Xenopus tropicalis: one gene and its partners. The protein of the gene in region 3 purifies or fractionates together with the protein of the main gene of each other region. This does not show direct contact. Links are inferred from orthologs where the notes say so. Each region holds a gene or a part of one and is shown on either strand. Other genes may lie near its edges.

Region 1 (7,718 bases), on a different chromosome or scaffold from region 3:
ATAGTCATTAATCCTTATCATAACATAGATAATATATTAGTATGCTATCATTTTAAACATGCACAGAGATAAGTTGAAGCAGTGGAACAAAATGGTTTACTTAGAAAATATATTTATATACATATATATATATATATATATATATATATATATGTCACACAATATCCTTATTGCACAAATCAGCTCCAGAGTGAATTCCATTATGGGATCTGCAAAGAGCATAAATAGACTAAGGGAAAACAGGACTTCCCACCGCACAGATATATTACTTCCTGCAAAGGCCTTACTAGTTCCAAGCACATCTATGTCTCCAACTGCAACAAATCAGCCAGAATGCAGGCAGAGAAATCGAGCACAACCCACAACATTCTCTCATTTACCTGCCTAGCCTCCACTGCACTAATCACAATAAGGTAAAATAAATAAGACTGACATATATATTGAAATCTAGATATGCATAATCATACAGAACCCTCTAATACAAATATGTAGGATATTATTTTTTTTACAATGATTGTTACTTGTATGGGCAGCAACCCCTCGGATATCCATCGGTCATAAAGCTACAACAGGTATATTTGTCTCCAGCTAAAGGTTTCATACCTCCCTTTGGGTCTCACAAACTTTTTTTTTTTTTATGCTGTGTTCCTGTGTGCTACAAGGGTACAGTTTAGTTAAGTCATGTTAAACATTCCTACTTTTACCTACTGCAAGTACAGTGTATGGTAAAAGACAAGGTATTTTGGTCATCCAAAAGCCTGTATGTCCATGCCTGTACGTTATTAAAGGGATGCTGTCCCTTTCAACAAATGAATTTGTCTGCGAGCATTTAACATGGGACAGCTTCTACAGTAACGTGCTGCACTACTTACAGCCACATATCAGGATTGCAAAAAGCAAATTCTTATCAGGGCTGCCTTAGACTTGTGCATACTTGCATTATATACGCGATAGACATTCCAATCGCTCACATATAAAAATCACAGGGGAGCAGAGCAAACGTAAAGAAGCCAAACGGACACTTGTATCCGATTTTTTTTTTTTTTTTTTTTAACACTCACATCACTGATAGTGCACATTTAAATGCAAGTATGAACAAGACCATACTGTGATTAGCCAAGCATTACATAGTGCTTCACACGCTTGCTTTCTAACACTCTGCCACCTTCAATTCAATACATGGAATGGTGACCCTACAGCAGCGCTATGGTGCCAAGTGGAACATACAAAGTGCTGAGTGATGCTGCCCATGCAATAAGCTTGGCAGGATTTGAAGATGGAGTCATTCTTATAATCCTGAATAATTCTTTGTGGCGCGGTGGTAATCAATGAGTGAATGCTGCCCTTCAGTGTACCTTTTTAAAGAGTCAGTGTAAAACAGCAATCATTAAAGGTGTTAGGTGAATGTGACACAATTAAACATTGCAACACACACTGGGTCTCATAGGGGGACTTTCCCAGTAAAATGAAAGCAATGGACTTTAACATTAGTCACACCAGTGAGTGACGGTAAAAATCTTTTCTATTTAATACAGCTGCAGCCTGTTAGCATGTAAGACATAGCACAGAAAATGATAAGAGCTGTACTACTGATGGAGGGGTTGGGGCACCCTGAAACATTTAGTCTCTGTACGAACAAAAAAACAATTGTTTTTCTATTTTGTGTGCCTTTTTCTTGTGCGTCTTTTAGACAAAATGATACACAAGTTAAGCTTGGCCACCAAGTTGCCTAATAATATGCTGAACAAGTCGCCATGTCCACAGGAAAAAATAATTGTCTGATTGATAGTCTTAATGAGGAAAGAGAATATACACAATGCAGCCATAAGCAAATCGGTACTGGGTGTTAAGCTGCTGTTTACTGAAAATGAAGAAGATTTGTGATTGGGAGAGCAATAACTGAACTGGGGAACAGTGAGGACAGAGGGCACCATAGCTACAACATGGTAACACCCAAAAAGTATAAGGGAATGATGCTAAAGAAACTCTAGGACAGTGATCCCCAACCAATGGCTCATAGCAACATGTTGCTCACCAACCCCTTGGATGTTGCTCCCAGTGGCCTCAAAGCTGGTGCTCATTTCTGAATTTCTGGCTTGGGGCAAGTTTTGGTTGCATAAAAACCAAGTATAATGCCAAACAGAGCCTTCTGTAGGCTGCCAGTCCACATAGGGGCTATTAAATAGACAATTATTGCTCTTATTTGCACCACCAGGAACCTTTTTTCATGGTTGTGCTGCTCCCCAACACTTTTTCCATTTGAATGTGGCTCACTAGTATAAAAGGTTGGGGATCCCTGCTCTAGCATATAGATGTAGTAATTTAGCCAAGTTTGCCTAAAGAGATGGACAACCTCTGTGTAAGAACAATCAGCACTCCATTGACTGGCACATAAATAATATTTTTGACAGCAATACAGTTACACTGCACAAACACCATACAAAATTTACCTTAAGATTATCAAATGATCTGAAAAATCAGGAAACATACAAAATACCCAACTAGCAGAGCTGAACTGATTGGCAAGTTACTAAAGTGCTAGGAAATGCCATCAGTGCTGCCCCACAAGTTGGGTTTCCTATTACTGGTCCTGATTTTCAATTGTTCTAATAACCTTATTTATCCTAGCTCTCGGGGGCACCATCCCATGCCTGCCTGCCACTAGTGGTACCCTATGAAACACATAATGCGGCATTATGGATGCAGCCAAATACAATTCATGTGACCGAGGCATTTGTGGCACATGTACCCTGCATTTAAACTGACGAGAAGACATTTAAAAATACCCTCATATACTAGAAAGGAATATTGTCTAAATGAATGTCTTGTTTACATGTCGGGGCAGGGACCTCCTTCCTACTGTGTACTTAAATTGTAAGCTCTACGGGGCAGGGACCTCCTTCCTACTGTGTCTCATGGCACTTATATATATATATATATATTAATTGTATTTATTTATTATATCACTTGTCCTCCCTTGTATTCTGTGAGATTGTACAGCGCTGCGTACCCTTGTGGCGCTTTATAAATAAAGTTATACATACATGTCCACTTGATGCTGGAACTATACAATAACATTTTGAATGGACAAATTTACAGTCTATTAAATCAAAGCCCAGGACAAAGAGAGAAACCATAGTAAGTAGAAAATATAACAGCTTAAATAGCAAAGGAAAGATTTAAAGTACATTACCCAGTGAAGTTTCAATATATCTAACCATGGAGTGAGGAACATGAGCCGATCTGGTCTATAATATTGACCATAATCATACGTATGCATCTAACAGTGTTTTTCCTACCATTTTTCAAGGGAAATAGGCTCTAGCAACGGTGATTACTGGGAGAACACACACTGCCTCTGGCATAGGAGGACTCTTCTTCCCTTGCAGCAGGAAGCATCAATCTAGAACATGTTCCATGCTGCAGCTATAGCCTTAGGGCACTGAAATCCAAGAATGTAAAGCAGCCCATATGAACTGAGAGGGTTTTGCTCTATATTCTGTATACATATACTGGGGGGCACAGCGCATCAGCACATGAGGAAGTGAAGGGGAGATGAAACGGCGCTTTACTTCCTGGTGCTCCAATCGTAACAATGGGAGGGTGGCCGTATAACTGTATAGTCCCTCCTGACGTATCTTTCCATTCGCTCCTGGGTTGATTGCTGGATATTGATGAGTATCAGTTAGTAACCGGACATCTAATATATATATATATATATATTTTTATTATTTTTTTTACACTACAGGATTTAAGACTCATCACTGCGGACGAAGGCACCTTGGCCCAAACGTTATCCATTTTATATAATATTAGCACTATAATTTGCTGACACATTTACAATATATTACAAACATGGACCCTTATGCCAATTGTGCCCCCAGCACCCAGGGAACAGCTGGAGGGCAGCAGTAAAAATGAAACCCCAAATAAATATCTAGTAATCAGAGACCTGCAGAAAGATTTATCTAAGAAACCCAATGAAGAACGAAATGAGTCCAACCAGCTGTTATGAACTACAGTATCCGACATCCTCTGCGGGTCTTGTAGTCCCCAGCAGCTGGGCCGCTATGAGGCTGACATGCCACAGTTCCAGCCGAGGAAGGTGAAAATTCCACCGCAGAAGAACGCGTAGATCCCCAGAGCCCCAGGCCAGACGCGACACACTGCGATTCAGCGTCTAACCCCATTCATTCGAATTAAAAATAAGCGATAGAAGCCCGTCACTTACCCGTCTCCCACGACCACACATTTAATGGCCTGCATGGCTGCGCTGGCAGCGGATCTCCCTGCAGCCCGGGCGCAAAAGCGGATACAGATGAAGGCTGTACGTATGGCCCAAGCAAGCTAGGCCGCGAAAGGGCTTCAGTAGCTCAGAACACACCCTCTCTCTCTCACTCACGACTCCTTCTCCTTTGCTCTCCCTTCAGCGTCTATGAAGGAAAAACCTAGAGCAGCCAGCGCCCGACAAAATCAACTCTTCGGCGAGATAACAGGAAGCTTCCCCGCCTGCGTCACTTCCGGCCTCGCCTCGAAAGCCCGCGGGAGCGAGTGGGGCGCGCCCAGGAGTCGGGAGCGCGCATTGAGTGACGTCACTCCCTTAGCTCTTCTGTCGGGCAACTGGCTGGCGGCGGAGAGTTATGGGAGGTGGAAGGGTAGTTCCAGGGTTCTTTTAAGTATTAACATGAATATTAAAGATGTGTCAGTTTTACCTTTATTTTCTCTGTAACATATGTGGCAGACCAGCAAAAGCGCTCTCTTTCCCCTGCCTCAGGGGGAAGAAACAAAAATACCGGGGCCGCTGCTGGCCAAATGGGTGCCCTAAGCAGAAATTTACTTTTGTGCCCCCTCTCCCAAATATTACGGAAGTAAAAATAAAATAAAAAAAAACACCTACTATGGGGGCCCCACACACAGTGCCCCCAATTGCCCCCATAGACAATGCCCCCATAGTAAGTAAGTTATAATATAGAAAAATGTTTTTTTTTTTGGAGTAGCTGGGATGGTGCCCCCCTGGGAGTTGGTGCCCTATGCAGACTGAGTACTCTGCTTATAGGGAGCGGCGGCCCTGAAAAATACAAAAATAGACAATGCTTGATAATTGCCTCTGTGTTTTTGCAAATGCAGCTGTTAGTATTGTCTATGGCAGGGTATATTCTGGCGCTTAGTAGCCCTGACAATAGCTACTACTAAGTAGCTTCCTATGTTTTTATCCTAAGGGCCATGACACACGGAGATTAGTCGCCCTGCAACAAATCTGTGTTGTTGCGGGCGACTAATTTCCCCGCAATGCTATCCCACTGGCTAGAATGTAAATGTAAATCCGGTTGGATGGCATACGCGGCACCGTGATTTGCCGAAGTTGCCTTAAGAGAAAGCTTTGGCGACTTCGGCAAATCACGCCACCGGTGATGTACATTCTAGCCAGTGGAATGGCATTGCGGGGAGATTAGTTGCCCGTGACAATGGAGATTTATCATGGCCCTAAAGCTACATGTATTTTAGGTGGGTTTTAGGCCCTTCCAATAATGGGGGGGTCATAATTAGGTTAGACATGGGAAGGGGGGCACTCGCTGTGAGTGGTGGGGTCCCAAAAAGAGTGACTGACCCCCAAGAAACGTGACTTGCCTCCTTAGCCAGTTCTCTTATGCTATAGTTTCTAAAAACATTTATTTTAATGGAATAATTGTAAAACTTACAAACCCTCCTGAATTTATCTGTGTAAAGGTCCCCATACACGGGTCGATTGTAGCTCCCGATATCGGTCCCTTGGACACGCTCCCTTATATCGCCCACCCATAGGTGGGCATATCGGGTGAAGATCTGCTCGCTTGGCGACCTTATGAGTCAGAGATGGGGGCACAATGGGGCGTGTCCATAACACTAGAATATATATATATATATGGCAGAAGAGTGTTGACCTCTCTGAAAAAAGGTCTCAAAAACTCTTGGCTTATGACCCGCGGTTTGTTGGCCTCTCCAAATAAGGTCTCAACTAACCCTTGTTCTTCACCTGATGAACAAGGGTTAGTCGACATCCCTGAAAGCCTAGGGACCAATTGGCACTTGCACCTTCCTAGCCAGCAGTTCATTGTTGTTTTTATTAATTGGGTGACTAAGGGCTCTGGCACACGGGGAGATTAGTCGCCCGCGACAAATCTCCCTGTTCGCGGGCGACTAGTCTCCCCGAGTTGCCATCCCATCGGCGAAAATGTAAGTTGCCGGTGGGATGGCACACGCGGCGGCGCGATTTAGTCAAATCGCCGAAAAATGCCTCGCGCGGCAACTTCGGTGATTTGCCAAAATCGCCTGTGCAGCGTGTGCCATCCCACCGGCGACTTACATTGTCGCCGGTGGGATGGCAATTCGGGGAGATTAGTCGTCCGCAAACAGGGAGATTTGTCGCGGGCGACTAATCTCCCCGTGTTCCAGAGTCCTAAGCAGGCTTGAGCTCGAGCAGAGAGGATCCCTGATAATTCTGTTAGTCTGGGGCCTTGATGTGAGTGTGTAATTACATAAAGTTTGCGTATTGGCGGTATTCTGTGGTTTGTAGTCCAGCAACACTTGGGAAGCTGTAGGCTGGAATCTCTGTCACCGTTTTACAGTGTCTATGTATAATTCAGCGTGTGAGTACCATGCTGTTTTTTCTACAGTTTGTAAAATAGGCCCTGGCATTCCAGGTGCTAAAGGCTTAAACAGCAACTGTCTAATGCATCTTACAGCAGCCCCTCTGGCATTTTCCAGAATCTACTGATTGCCAGTCCAGGCGCAAGCACCCCACAGTTAACACAGAGTGACTATGTTAGAAAGTCATCTCCAAGAACAGTTTGTTGCTGGTCCTTTGACTCATACAGGGAAGGGCTTCTTTACCTCTGGGTACGAACAACAGCTTTACAGCAATGGATTAAGCCATTTAGTTAGCCAACCATGAGGGAGTGGAGAGGATAACAGACAGTGAGGACTGATTGGATCACCCAGCTACTGTGCATGTGATTAAGGACCAGGGACTTTCTCTGGTAATTACGGTTTTGTGTTGTGTTTACCAAATCCACACTTGGAATTTTTTAATGTGCAAGGTTACTGTCGTAGAAACAAGAAATGTCACCTTATGCTTGAAAACAATGACTACTATTGTGTTATGTACCAATGTACTGTACTTTTGGAAAAGTTGTTGTCACTGCATGTGCAAGTGTGCTTCTTGGTGCTCCGGGCTGGTCTTACAGCTTCTCTCACAAACAGCAGTCTTTTATTATCCTACCTAGAGAGTCTGAAAATAGAGTTCCTATCTGGCAAATTCTGATTCTGCAAAACATTTGACAAGATCAGCTTATCTCAAAGGCACCTTTACTGCTGTTTTGCCTGCAAGTGACTTAATCTATCTGTAATAGGAAATAGGAAAACATGGCTGAGGCAGAACAAATAAAAATGGTTTTGAAAAGAAAACTAGATTGTCCAGCCATTTGTTTTAACCTTTTAAAGGTCCCCATACACGGGCCAACTATAGCTGCCGATATCGGTCCCTTGGACCGATTCGGCAGCTAATCGGCCCGTGTATGGGGAGAGCAGAGCGGCCTGGCCGACCGATATCTGGCCTGAAATTGGCCAGATCTCGATCGGCCAGGTTAGAAAATCCGGTCGGATCGGGGACCGCATCGGCTCGTTGATGCGGTCCCCGATCCGACTGCCCCATTGCCGCCCACATAATCCGATCGTTTGGC
Region 2 (7,874 bases), on a different chromosome or scaffold from region 3:
CATCTAGCCGGGGGTAGAACAGGCAGAACAGCGGAGAGAGGCTTGTGAGTTTGCAGCTAAAGTTCTTTCACGATGTCTCAGTAAATGCTTATGCTTTTGTATAAAGCCAACTCTGAAGCAATATGGGTTATCATTATATGGTTGTCACAGGAAGACTAAGCATACCAGGGCCTATTGTTGCGTGCAGCTTATCTTACTTCTGCATTTGCCAGTTCTCATGCTGAGGCAGATGAACATTTTATTTTGGACAGACCAACTGTGGTCTGATGGTTGGGCAGGCCTGTTCAATCTGCCAAAGAAAATCTGAGCATGTGTATTCAAATTAATAGTATGCATTTTTTATACAGAACCTATATTCATAATAACAAACAAATGTGTAAAGAAATGAATTGCTTTTAAGTTTAAAATTCAGGTCTAGAAGAAACACACTAAGGATGAAAGCCATTAAAAAAAGAAAAATAGGACAACAAAAAGTTGCTGATTATGATGATAATGACTGTTATTCATTAATATACATATAAATGCAAAAATACAAACAAATTTTATTTATGAAGATATTTAGCATTTTTAAATGAAAAAATATTTAAGGTTCATGATAACTACAAGGGACTATGCACCTGGCTGAAATTGTCTTCTATTGAGTTGAATAGGTATCACATGAAAATGCTGAAACGTGAGATTTCCCAATGGTCTTTGCCTAAGTTCAATTGTTCAGCATTCAGTTGGGGTGGGGGTGGCCCCAGTGGCGTAGCGTGGGCTTTCGTCGCCTGGGGCCGACCGGAAATTTGCCGCCCCTCTATTTAGTTATTCTTAAAAAAAATAGACAAAATAAAAAAAGCAGCATTAAATTTTTTTTTTTTTTTGATTGAATTTGAAATGCGGTGCGCATGTCATAATTGTCAAAAGTGGATTCAGCTGTGCGTCCGTGGCTGCCCATGGTGGCAGGGCCGCCATCAGAAATCACAGGGCCCCTCCCATCAGTACAGGACACACAGACATAAAAAGTATTAGGGTCACCCTACCACAGTGGCCCCCTAACACTATGCTGGCCAGGCCCCCCTAACGCTATTCTGGCCACGGTCCCCCCATACAACTGCCCCATAGACAGTACCCCCATACACAGTGCCCCCAATTGCCCCATACACAGTGCCCCCCACACACATTGCCTCCAATTGCCCATAGAAAGTGCCCCAATTTCCCCATAGACAGTGCCTCCAATTGCCCCATACACAGTGTCCCCATAGACAGCCCCCTCCACACAGTGCCCCCAATTGCCCTTAGACAGTGCCCCCAATAGGAAGTGCCCCCATACACAGTGCCCCAATTGCCCCATTCACAGTTCCCCCAATAGAAAGTTCCCCCATACACAGTGCCCCCATAAACAGTGCCCCCAATTGCCCCATACAAAGTGCCCCCAATAGGAAGTGCCCCCATACACAGTGCCCCAATTGCCCCATACACAGTGTCCCCATAGACAATACCCCCCAAAGACCTTGCCCCCCAATAGAAAGTGCCCTCATACACAAAGCCCCAATTGCCCCATACACAGTGCCCCCAATAGGAAGTGCCCCCATACACAATACCCCACAAAGACCTGGCCCCCCCCATGGAAAGTGCCCCAATTTCCCCATAGACAGTAGCCCCCACACAGTGCCCCCAATTTCCCCCATAGTACATACCCCCAACAGACCATTGGCGGCGGCTCCTTCTCTCTTACAGGCAACAGGCGCTTCTATAAGGTTGCGCCTCGTCGCTGACGTGTGACGTCATACGCACGGGCGCAACCTTATAAAAGCGTAAGAGAGAAGGAGCCGCCGCCGCCCCTTCTGATACGCCGCCCGGGGCCATGGCCCCCTCGGCACCCCCCTCGCTACGCCACTGGGTGGCCCTCTTAGGGTCCTGGAGCAGTGGCTGGGGGTTTATTCCGCTTAAACAAGTCCTGTTGTGCCGGTATTTTTGTGCTATTTGGAACGTGGTGGAGAGTGCTGAAGTCTCACTCTAAATACTGTGCACCAGGCGGAACAGAGTGGAAAGGCCAGGGTGTGCTAGTGAGTGTGGATTGGTAGTGGCTGGGGGCACAGCTTTAGGGTAAGCCAGATATTGTAAGATTTGTCCAGAATGCTTATTTGCTTTCTTAAATTTTACACTGGAGAACAAAGACTGAATGGTTTACTTGGTTCTTGGAACTTAGAGGCATCCTAACCAAATTCTGTCCTTCAAAGGGGAGCTTTGCATATTCCGTAAGAGTCCAGACACCACTGCCTTATAGTTTGGCTGAGATGAATTTGATGTTTTAAAGCACTAAAAGTATTTATGTTTAGGTGATGCTACTTTTATTCAGATTTAAATATACAAATTATAGTTGAAAATTGGATTTTGTCCGAATGCAAACATGATTGATGTAGTACATCTCAGATGATCGTGAGAATGATAAACCCCACTTATCCTCAGCAATCAAGAGTTACAATGCATGTTTTGTACTGCATGATTTTCATGCTTGGAATCTTGCTTTAAATGAATTTTCTGCCCATCATCCTTTCTGACAGAGTGTTTTCAGCTGTGTATTGTGCTTCCAGTTGCATATATCATATTTTCCAAAGAGCAAATGAGGTTGTTACACAATTTTAAATTCAATGAAGTTAAAGCTGAATGGAAGAGTGGAATCAAGCAGTAATGCCTTGTAACAATACAATAAGATGTGCAGTGAATCACTACATACAGTATTTATAAGACTGTATAACTAACATACCTTTTCCATAAATGTGCAAAATAATTATTGTATTCAGCAAACGTATAGCTCTTCTGCTGCTCTGCTGTCTTCTGCTTTAGAACTGCTCCTAGCATTCTCTACCAGGCACAGGAAACATTCAGACAACCTTATATAATTGTTTTTAAAAATACCCTGGGGTACTTAGAGCAAAGTTAGTGGGTACATTAGAAGCTGTTTGCGTTAAAAAGGGAAACATATTGTTCAAATGAATATAAGAGGAAAAATAATATAGCTAACTTACTAGATGTTTAGATGTGACGTGCATCAAGCAGTAGTCAGACTGAGCTGAGCACGCATTAAGGGGAAGTGACAAAACAGAGTTCATCCTTACATGGCCAACAGAGTTCTCGCTACAAAAGCATAAGAGGAACTAAAGTGGACCAGTTATTAAACAACATGCATCAGTGTATCAGTGCTTCCTCTTTCATAAACTACAATATCCACAAGCCTCTGCCATCTTTCAGAGCAGTGCCAAACGCCAGAATGTTAACTCCAGGTTAGTGTATTGCTATGCAAAAAAGACTACAAAACATACAAATATTTCAAGTGTCCTGCTGCAACATAACCATGGGAGGATATAAAACATTTAAGCACTGGGGTATTATATACTTAAGGAGCTAACCTAACACACTGATTTTACCTTAAAAGTGGCCTTTACTTTCAACTGTTTCCTGGAATTTATATAGCGCTGACACATTTTGCAGAGATTATGCATCATCCACATCAGTGTCTGTCCCAGTGGAGCTTACAGTCTAAGGGCCCTATCACAATCACACACAGGAGGGTCAGTTGTATTGGGAGCCAGTTTTCCTGGCTGTATGTTATTGGAGTGTGGGAGGAAAATGAAGTATTCAGAGGACACCTATAGACTATAGCCCAGTAATCCTCAGTGAGTGGCTCATGAGCAACATGAGCTCCCCAACCGCTTGGGTGTTTTGAATTCCTGGATTTTGGGCATGTTTTGGTTGCATAAAACAGGTGTACTGCCAAACAGAGCCTTCCGTAGGCTGCCAGTCCACATAGGGACTACCAAATAGTCAATCACAGCATATATGTGGCACCCCAAGGAACTTGTTTGTGTTGCTCCCCTACTCTTTTTACATTTGAATGTGACTCACAGGTAAAAAAGGTTGGGGACCCCTGCTATAGACTCTGTATGAATTTCTATTTACTTAGGCCCAGGCAGTTATGTTCCTTTATTCCCAGAATTGTGTTTGAAAAAAGATTGTGCACAAATCATACCTAAAAATCAGGATTTTTCGTATACTCATATTGTGCGCCTATTTAGGCGAAACGGAGAAAGTGGGAAATGGCTTACCTTAGATACAAAGCCTGGGAGGAGGCGGTTCATCAGTTTGCAGAGCACCACCCCATCCTTCAGTGAACATTTCAAGAAGTCAGCAGGATTGCATATGTTTTTCTTGGGAGAACTTAACACCCCCAGTGAGATCAGCCAAGTGACGGTCTGTTCCTCAGGGTTCATGGCTGTGTAAATTGGCTTCGTACAGTGCAGGGTGCAATGTAACAAAGCTGTTCTGCAGCCACATCCGTGATTGCATCTGCTCTGCTCTTCCTATATGTGCGGGCTGAGCTTACTTTTCAACAGCTTTACCAACTGCCTTCAGTAACAAGCAGGAAGCTGCATGTAATAGAATGTGCTCTTATGCTTTGCGTTCTGGGGATCCTAAAGTAGTATTTTTTGCTTGCATCTCTTATTCTCATTGTGCTTGCTCTAGGGTTTCAAAGTTATTCTGGATGTCCTGATGTTCCAGAAAACCGGTCTCATAAATTATGTAGGATAAGTGCTCTGTTTTCTGAGCCAGTGCAGAACAGATCAGCACAGGATAAGAGGCTGAAATTAAAATGCATGTTCTTTGATACTGGATATAGTTAGCCTCATACATGTTGTGTATATACAGTACAGAGCATTTTATTGAATGAATAAACTGAAAATAAAATATATCTAGTAGAATATAGAAATGTGGATATTTAAATAAAATACATTAGGCCAGGCATCCAGCCTGATTGGTGGCCCTGAGCATGATAAATATAGGGGTATATTTATCATGCTGTGTAAAAAGTGGAGTGAAGCATTACAGCGATGTTGCCCAGGGCAACCAATCAGCAATTTCACGGTTAGTGTCCCCTAACCTGCATTATTTTGAAAAACCCAATAAAATATATAAAACAACATTTTTTTTTATAATTCTGCTGCTTGGAGACTGTTGAAGTGACCTGCTGGGGCTAGGCTAGCCAGGGGGAACCTATATCCAAATAACCATTGATTTGCAGAGCTGTTCCAGGTGACATACATAATGTGTTAAAGGAAGAGTAACACCAAAAAATGTATATATTTTAAAGAAATTAAACTATAATATACTGCTGCCCTGCACTGGTAAAAGTTGTGTGTTTGCTTCAGAAACATTTCTAGAGTTTATATAAACCCTGCTGTGTAGACATGGGGGCAGCCATTCAAAAGAAGAAAAGTCACAGGTTATATAGCAGCTAACAGATTAACCCTGTAGAATACAAAGGTGCCTTTTCTCCTTTTTCCCTGCTTGAATGGCTGCCCCCATGGCTACACAGCAGCGTATTTATATAAACTATAGTAGTCTTCCTGAAGCAAACACCCCAGTTTTACCATTGCAGGGCAACAGTACATTATATTTCAATTACCGTATATACTCGAGTATAAGCCGAGTTTTTGAGCACCAAAAATGTGCTCAAAAAGTCACCCTCGGCTTATACTCGCGTATATGGATAACATGTATATCCCGTGGATGTCCACGCGCACCCCCGCCACCAACCCCTCCTCGCTCAAACCACCTCATTGCTGTGCGCGCTGTACCACTAAAACCTCTCTTTGACGTGCGCTCCTATGGCAGATTCCGTGCGAGAATCCGCTCTGTCTGAGGATTCCAGCTGCCGCTCGTTCGTACCCCCGCCGCCGACCCCCCCTTCTGGATGCACGCAAGTGCACGCAAGTACCGCTCAGACGCCCCACCCCTCGCTGTGCGCGCTGTACCGCTACGATCCCTCATCTGGACAATCTCTACAATCCGGACACAGTGACCAAGAGGAGCGTGTGCCTCGGTCCCCAGCAGCTTCAACCATCCCCGCTCCCAGCCTACAGTAAACACCCGCCGCTACTCCTGGGCTAAGCTGCAGCACAAGCAGCCCATTGCGTTGTCTGTGGTGGTGGTTGGTTGCTAAGCAACCAACCACCTTCTAATACTGGTTGCATAGAACTCAGGACCCGGACTGAGAAAGAGCTGTCCAAACTGTGCCTTAACTTGAAAGTGGCTGCTCCCAGCCAAAGAGCGACTCAGCCTGCAATGTATTGCACCCCAGTCCTTTGGCACACCAGGCAAACCTGGCTTTTTCATGGCTGCACAAGGCCCCTGTGAACCTGCACAAACTGTAAGTCTACCCTGATGCACTCTCTTAGTACATAAGCTGAACCCCTTGGGTGCAAGATTTGGTAGGTAGATCCACTATCAGGGCTGTGCACCAGGAGGCTCAAGTGCAAGATGCTTCACTCCAAAGAGATTTTTGGGCCTGTCTAGTCATGGGCATCATGCACTTCTCAGCATCATGTAATTGTAATATTATGTAAGCCCACCCTAGGCTTATACTCGAGTCCATACAGTTTTCCAGTTTTCTTAGGTAAAATTAGATACCTCGGCTTATATTCGGATCGGCTTATACTCGAGTATATACGGTACTTTAGAACACTTAAATTTTTTGGTGTTACTGTTCCTTTAAAGGGATTTTGTCATGATTTTTATGGTGTATATTTTATTTCTAAATTACCGTATTTTCCGGCGTATAAGACGACTTTTTAAACCCGAAAAATCCGCACCAAAGTCGGAGGTCGTCTTATACGTCGGATATGGCAGGGCCGCCATCAGGAGGAAGCCTATTTACCTGAGGTCACTTCTCCAGCAGCAGCTGCATCTCCCGGGCGGGCAGAGCCCCGAGCACCGACGGCATGAGCAGGGCCCGGCATGCACAGCGGCTAGTACCGGGGGAGGGGACGGCCACACAGCAGCTGGGCATGGCGGCGCGACTGCACGAAACTGATACCGTGCCTCAGCCACGGACTCAGCAGGAACCTGACCCGGAAAGCATGGGAAGCTTCAGTGTATGAAAAGAAACCAGGGCAGGGTTGGCCAAGCCGCGGCCCTCCGGTCATCATTAAACTGCAACTCCCAGCTAGTCAGCTAAAGCAAGAGTGACTAACGTTGTATATCACTAAGGGCTTGTAATAAATTCTTACCACATCACCATTTTTAGGTAATTATAACTTTATTGCTTAATTTTTCTGTTCAGACTATACAATGTTTCTCTTTCATTCGAACTTTCTACTGGCTGCTTGGTTGCTATGGTAATTCAACTCTAGCAACCAAATAGCCTTCATTGACCGCAACAAATGTAAAAAGAAAAAAACACAAAGAATTAAGACTAAGACAGAATATAATTATATAACTAGTATAACTATATAAATAGAATATATAAATAGTCTATACCTTACTAAAAGAACTAGGAGGCCTATTCATTAAAGGGAAATACAAAATTCCACATGATCAAGGTTTTACCAGTTAAAATTTATTACATTTTCCAGCCTGATTCATTTATATAATTTGCTCATTTATAGCTGAACTACTGTATTTTAAGACTGTATAAGACGACTTTTTATCCCCGAAAAATCCGTGCCAAAGTCGGGGGTCGTCTTATACGCCCAGTCGTCTTATACACAGGAAAATACGGTACACTGTTTACGTAGCTAATAATTCACTCTACCTTTTCAAATTTTATTCCTGAACCAACAAATATATTTTTAAAAAATACATTATAAAACAGAAATACCAAACTTGCACAGGACTGCCTTTCAGTTATGCACTGATATTTCTATTTTTAGGAAATGTTCCATTGGGTGGACCCAATATTGAGTGTGATCTTTTTGTTTTCACTTCATATTTTTTGTGAGACTCCTATTTGGTATCACTGGATTTTTCTTGAATCTGGTAACCTTAATAAAGGGGTGGTTGACCTTCAGGTTAACTTTTATTATACTGTAGAATTGCCTTTTCTTAGCAACTTT
Region 3 (7,223 bases):
CATTCACGAAAACCAGCAAAGATTGTGTCCCTTACTAAAACCACATAGTCAATAATAATAAATATAGCTTGCTAGGAGCAAAATGTTTAGGGTTTTAACTCTTGCTTTCCTTTTTTTTAGGAAATAATCCAATACATTATATTTTAATTAAATAATTGTTCTGCATTTTGTAGCGAGGGGAGCGGCTAAAAGATCACGTGTTCTAAACATTGTGCTGCACTGTTTAGGTTACATGTATCCCCCATATGTAGTAAAAGTACAGTCATACATTACACTCTATAGTGGTTATGTAACCCCTAAAGTTACTGTGGTTTCCCAGTAGCAAAAACTCATAGCAGCCAGTAAGATGTTTGCTTTTAAATTGGTGATCAGTAACTTCTACCCTGGAAGCTATGCATTACTGCTGTTGGGCAAACTTAATGCCTTTTACATTACATAACCCTTCAGAGTGCAATGAATGACTGGGTTATGTATTTTGTGTATTTGTAATTGCAGAGCTCACAGCCTCTCTAGTTAAAGGAGCTGCAAACCCAATAATAAACATTTGCCCAATAAAGGAATTTTGAATTCTTTGGAACTTTCCAATATACATTCTGTACAAAGTTCTAGTGGCTTTAAAATATTTTGTAATTATATCACCTATAAAAAGCAGTATCAATCTGTCCCTTTCTCTTCTCTGCTCTGGTTCTGACTAATGAAGGCATGTTGCAGAATCCAGCTAATTAACAGACCTGTAAAGAAGAAGCATGCGAGATTGGCTTCTTCTACATTCAGTCAAGAGACTGAAAACAGATGTACAAATACAGTGTTGCAGTCACATTGCCTTGTGTGCGCCTTTTAGTTGTCACAGGATAGAATCCATCTCTCTTTTTATTATCACAGCAACTTCACTCCAGCGTGAGGACTGGGAACCTGGAAACCTGCTTGCGGCTGCTATCTCTCGGGGCTCAGGCCAATTTCTTCCACCCGGTAATTACTGAACGCTTTTGCCTGCATTTGCTCTGCAGTTTAGCCTGGTGTATATTTCTCAAACTACCCTCTCAGATCCGGCCCCGTCTCTTTTAGAGCGAGAGTTATTGATTTTTACCTGACTGTTACTGTCTGCCTTGAAGCTCTGTAATCAAATATGGCGAGACTTCTAATATTAGCTGCAAGGGAGCTGATCTTTTAGAACAGCTTCTAGTAAATAACGTTCATTTTTTTACACCATTCAGCTTATTTGATCAGATAAATGCCCCCTATCCACCCTCTTTAATTTATAATTCTAAAAAAATACTTAGATTTCTCTTAGATCTGTTTTTTTAACAGTTGCCTCTGTTTTGGATAACCTATCAGCACTTCCACTTAAGGTAATGTCCCACGGAGTGAGTTAGTCACCAGCAATAGATCTTCGGGAAAGCCGAAGTGATACATATGTGATGCCTGTTGTTGCTGGGGGAAAGGCATTTCAGAGTGGTTAGTCACCTGGTAGCAGAGATCTATCGTGGGTGACTAACTTGCTCCTTGAGACATTAGCCTTAAACAGCGCCGGTTATCTCATCTGGGCGCCCCGAGGCTGCTCCCCTTGGAGAGGTCCCCATTGCTCCGTATGGGATCAAAATTTCAGTGCTGCAAATCTGTGTATTCTGGCAAATGCCACAGGTGCTGCTGTAAGATGCCATAGACTAGGGATCCCCAATGGTTTTACTTGGTAAGCAACACAAGCATTGAAAAAAAGTTTTTTGGGCATGCCAAATAATTTGATTGGCGATTTGGTAGCCCTATGTGGATTGCTAGTCTACAGGAGACTCTGCTTAGGATAAAATTATGCCTCTGTTCTTCTAAAACTTGCCACAGAAGAACAGGAACAGCACCTCTTGTCTTTGTAGATTAAAATGCCTTTATTGCAAAGTTTTCTGGGGCAAACAACAACAGCAGCAACGTTTCAGGTTACATAAGACCTTTTATCAAGCTTCTAAAACTTGCCTCCAAGCCACAAATGTAAAAATGGGCACCTACTTTGAGGCCACTGGGAGCAGCATCCAAGTGGTTGGTGAGCAACATGTTGCTAGTGAGCCACTGGTTGGGAATCACAGCTATTTCTTGGGCCTGTGGGGGGCTGTTTGAGTCTCTGTGTATTTTATATGTCAGGGCCTATTTTGACTCTCAGTCTGTTCTATGATGGTTATAACACACAGGGCTGTTTGATCACTGTGCTGCTGTCAGGTATGTCACAGGCCTATAGCCACAAAGGACTGTTGTTCATATTTTGCAAGAGGAGACTATAACTACAGTGTGTATTAAACCAAACTGTAATAGTTGTTTTATCAATATTATACTTCTATTTCATATTTATTCAAGCCAGGCCTTTTTACATTGATTACAGAATATTTATTAGTTAACAAGATACAGATTATATGGCTAATGCGCCGATGGGGCTGATTCTTGGTCTGTGACTGCCCCGGGTGTAGGCACATACTGAGGGGATTTCAGCACCGAAGTATGCATTTTGGCATTGAAATCCGCTGCATGTAGGGAAAGGCTTATGCCGGTGTAGGGGCTGATTCTTTGCTTGCGTTTATCTACAGGCCGAGATTCGCCATGGGGGCACGTTTACTAAGATTGGAGATAGCTATCACTGGTGATGTTACCCATAGCAACCAATCAGCAATTAGATTTGAACATTCACCTACAAGTTTAAAATCAAAAGCAAAGAGCTGACTGGTTGCCACGGTCAATATCACCGGTGGTATTGATCTCAAGTCTTAGTAAACATGCCCATAAGTGCTTTTTTTTTTTAATTCTACTGACAGCATCCACATTGTCCCATTTTACGGAACACAGAATCCGTCAGAGTTGTCCATTTACCACAGTGGCGTGTTTCTCCACATGCACTGACATTTAGGGGGACCTTCCTTCAGATAAATTGCATTTGTATTATGGTCCCCATGAATAAATTGAAATAGTATTGAAAATAGTTCTAACAACCATTCAAAGGTAGAACTATCTGTAACCCATCTTGTTACCGGTGCAATGCTGCAGATATTGCCTATCCCCATCCTATTCACAGTGCTCCATATTAAAGTGCTGCATAATTGGTGCTTAGAAGCGTATGAAATGGCAGAATTCACACCATAATGCAGATTGTTTATCTCTGGGAAATCAGAATAGCTAGTAGTCATGTTGTCACTGGCTGCGCGCCAGTATCTGTTGGAAGGGAGAGCAGCAGAGATAGGGGATTTGTAGAATGATGTTTATAAAACTAATAATAATAATAATACAGTTTGCTGAAAACCTCGAAGACCTTATAAGTGCAACTTGACTTTAGGGGCACCAGAACGTCTGCTGTTTATTGAGAGGTTTTCCTCTTTAACCCACAATGACTTGCTACTGCATTGAGGTTATTAGAAAAACTTGCAAGTGGAATAGCCTAGATACTGAATTGTTTTTATTGAGATAAAATGTTTGCTAGTAGAAACAAATTTCAAATGTCTCCTGTGACACAAATGATATCACTGAGCATCTGTGTTAATGGATAACCTCATCATGCATCATAAATAAGGATCTTTTTCATGACAAAAAAAGAAGGGAGCAAATGGGTAATTCTGGTAAATTAGAATTGCTACTTAGTCACCTCACCTTGATGTTAACATGACCTGTATTACCAGGCCTGCAGCTGTTTTACACTTGTGTTTGAAAACATACATTATTATAGTTTGTATGCAGAATTTTTGCTTTCTGGGATCCAGGGTTGCTTTCCTTTGCCCTTATTCATTCAGCTCTGTAAATAACCCGTGGGATTAGGTATCAGCCACCGAGATGTTTGTAACCCTGACTCTCTCCTTAGGACAAAGGAACCACCCCATTGCATGTTGCAGCCAAGGCTGGACAAATCCTTCAGGCAGAGCTGTTAGTGGTCTATGGAGCAGATCCTGGGGCACCGGATGTGAATGGCAGGACACCCATTGATTATGGCAGGTGAGGTGATTGGGTCAGAGTAGGGCTGGGCGATATACCGTTTAATACCGAATACCGGTGTTTTTTTTTTAAAACTATATTCATTTTTCAGATACCGCAATACCGGGGTGACAGGGTACTCACCCGTACGGCCCGGTCTCGCGCACCTCCTTGCGTGCACGCGCGTGTCCCGTTGTCCGCGGGACGTTGCGCACGCGCGCCCAGGTGCGCGTGCGTCAAATGGCACGTACATGTCAAAGTGTGCACGTCCGCGACGCGCTGAGGGCGCTGGTTCTGCGCATGCGTGGGGGGTATTTAAAGCTATCAAACGCCTCCTCCTGTGCTATGTTGTCTGCGGCCTTGCCTGGGAAACTAAGCCTGCCTGATTTACCTTACGACTTTCTGTTGCCGATCCTTCGCTTGCCTGACTCTGATTTTCAATACTGCAGTAATTATTCTCTAATTTATTAGTAAATGGGGTTAACACCTAATCATGCATGGAAAAAAAATTTACCGTCAAATACCGTGACACCGATATAATTTTGAAAAATACCGTGATATAAATTTTTGGTCATACCGCCCAGCTCTAGGTCAGAGCACCACTAATGGTGGGTAATATACAAATGGGGAAATGTAATAAAAAGCTTTCAGAATCACATTGCATTTCATTGTGTTATAACACTTTGTTAGAACAAGTTGCTAGGTTATTTACCATTTAAAGTCAGTGTTTGCCTGCAGCGGCAGATGAGAGCAGTATCAGTTCAGATATTTCTACATAGTACAGTAAGCTGTTATTCTGTTTTTCTGAGCCAAAATGATTGTTATCAATGAATACTTTATTGCCTTGACCCAAATCTTTGGCATAGGCAGCCTTCCACTGGTTTGTTACTTGGCCAATTGTTAATAATATATAACTATTATATAATATAACACAGGGAAAATTGTCACTGGCTAGTGACAGGAATCACTGGAAAATGTGCTACTCTGCATTTTAGAGGGATACACGCCTATGGCTAGACAGGACAAGGTCCAAATTATAGTATAGGTATGGGACCTGTTGCCCACAATGCTCAGGACCTTTGGTTTTCCAGATAAGGGTTTTTCTGTAATTTGGATCTCCATACCTTAAGGGCTCTGGCACACGGGGGAGATTAGTCGCCCGCGATAAAACTCCCTGTTCGCGGGCGACTAATCTCCCCGAGTTGCCTACCTCTGCCATCCCACCGGCGAACATGTAAGTCTCCGGCGGGATGGCAGACGCAGCGGGGCAATTTCATGGAATCGCCGAAAAAGACTCGCGAGTCTTTTTCGGCGATTTGCGCAAAATCGCGCCGCTGCGTCTGCCATCCCGCCGACATGTAAGTCGCCGGTGGGATGGCAGAGGTAGGCAACTCGGGGAGATTAGTCGCCCGCGAACAGGGAGTTTTATCGCGGGCGACTAATCTCCCCCGTGTGCCAGAGCCCTAAGTCTGCTAAAAAAAAAACTTTTAAACATTAACTTAACCCAGTAGGATTGTTTTGCTTTAAATGAGGGTTAATTATATCATCTTTAGAACCAAATGCAAAGTACTATTTTATTATTACAGAAAAAAATTAAATCATTTGTAAAAATTAGAATGATTTCCTTATGATGGAGTCTGTGGGAAATGCCCTTTCCGTAAGTCAGAGCTTACAGGTTTTTGGATAACTGATCCCATACCTGTATTTTGTTCTTTCCTGGGGCGATGAAACACTGCAGATCTCGTAGTGTACCATTATCCTTACTGAGGGTTGAATAAAAAAAAAAATATAATGTCAATGACTCCACCAGTGCAGATTTGTTTCCTAGAAATTATATTCCAGAGCACAGGGGCTAGCTGCTGCCTGTGTGTGGATCACCAATAAATTGGCCTCAGATACTACACAAGCAGTACTGTTAGGTGGCCGTGCCACATATGACAGTTTTCTTTTAATTATATATATATATATATAATATACAGGTATATACTCAGGGTAGGAATGACAGCACACACAGGACTTTTTTCATGAAGAATCACAAAGGTTTAGATGAATAAATGTGAGGCTTTGAATAAAGCCTCACATTTATTCATCTAAACCTTTGTGATTCTTCATGAAAAAAGTCCTGTGTGTGCTGTCATTCCTACCCTGAGTATTTACGTCTCCTGCACGAGCACCCAGGTATTATCTTGTTCTTATGGTGTGCAGCTTTCCAGCAACTCGTATATACAGGTATATATATACAAGTGTGGTCCAGACCTGCAATTGTACTGCAGCTCAGTTCTGTGCTAATGGTTGATTATCGGTATGGGTGCAGGGTAAGCACTACATAACCTACACACTAAGCAATTATGCCATGGGGTTGAAAGCGAATTCTTTGAAAAAGGGAAGCCTAGACTAATTTATGTAAAATGATTGTGTTCATTTGCCCAACACAGCTGTTGGAAGATATGTCTGCCCCTATTAATTGGTTAATATTTATGACATTGCTTCCAACAGGCAGGCTGGTCATCATGATCTGGCAGACCGATTGGTGGAGTGTCAGTATGAACTGACGGATAGGTTGGCCTTTTACCTTTGTGGACGCAAACCAGGTGGGTGCCGTGTTGTGTAAGTCACATGTCACAACTTTTTGTTCCTCTACATAAACAGGGAGACCAGTGCTTTGCACTTCTATTGCCTCCATCTTCCCTCAGTGTGACACCCTGTATCTGCCATCTTGGCTATATGAACCTTGGTGGTTGATGCTGTCAGTTCATGATTGTGCCCTCCCCAAGCTGATATTTGGGTGGCAAGTTTTTTGTGTTTAGCACAGGGGACATATTTTGTGCCTTAATTTTCCAAACGGTGGAGGAACATCGTGCCCTTCCTGTCATTTAGTTACTGCTACCTAAACTTCTGATTTTTGCTTCAAATCCTGTAAAGAGTAAGAGCTTTATTTTTTTAGTGATAAAAGAACAATATAGAAAAACTAAGCAAACAGCTCATTAAATGTAAAAACCTTCTTGCAGTATTTGGATGCCAATAGAAGCCTAGTGCCGAGCTAGCAGAACCGCAGCGATGAGCAGGTGGTGCCACGGATGAGCTCAGCACTCTTCCCAAGCAAGTGCTTAGTACTGGGGAATAGCAATGGCTGCACAATGTGTTCTACTATGCCTGGATACAGTCCTCATTTTACATCTGCTCTTATCCCAGCCAAAATGCCAACCTGTATAAGAAGTGTGGCTCTGCAAGTCTAGGGAGAGTCTGGCCATGACTTTTCTAAATGCACTGGCCATTCTCTGCCTTCA

Evidence for each region.
Region 1: the proteins of git1 (region 3) and rac1 purify together in Homo sapiens (affinity purification with mass spectrometry; 3 studies listed by BioGRID). This does not show direct contact. The link is inferred for Xenopus tropicalis from reciprocal best matches to the Homo sapiens genes GIT1 and RAC1.
Region 2: the proteins of git1 (region 3) and arhgef6 purify together in Homo sapiens (affinity purification with mass spectrometry; 3 studies listed by BioGRID and IntAct, counting the BioPlex papers as one, with this or other methods). This does not show direct contact. The link is inferred for Xenopus tropicalis from reciprocal best matches to the Homo sapiens genes GIT1 and ARHGEF6.

The regions. Positions count from the first base shown.
Region 1 is NC_030685.2:25,455,259-25,462,976, reverse strand, and holds the start of rac1 (ras-related C3 botulinum toxin substrate 1), read right to left. Parts: upstream 4,435-7,718; 5' UTR 4,267-4,434; coding exon 4,232-4,266; intron 1-4,231. UniProt on the Homo sapiens protein: Plasma membrane-associated small GTPase which cycles between active GTP-bound and inactive GDP-bound states.
Region 2 is NC_030684.2:69,206,090-69,213,963, forward strand, and holds the start of arhgef6 (rho guanine nucleotide exchange factor 6), read right to left. Parts: upstream 4,284-7,874; 5' UTR 4,254-4,283; coding exon 4,089-4,253; intron 3,045-4,088; exon of another isoform or gene 3,036-3,044; coding exon of another isoform or gene 3,012-3,035; intron 1-3,011. UniProt on the Homo sapiens protein: Acts as a RAC1 guanine nucleotide exchange factor (GEF).
Region 3 is NC_030678.2:32,782,712-32,789,934, forward strand, and holds part of git1 (ARF GTPase-activating protein GIT1), read left to right. Parts: intron 1-882; coding exon 883-969; intron 970-3,826; coding exon 3,827-3,957; intron 3,958-6,432; coding exon 6,433-6,527; intron 6,528-7,223. UniProt on the Homo sapiens protein: GTPase-activating protein for ADP ribosylation factor family members, including ARF1.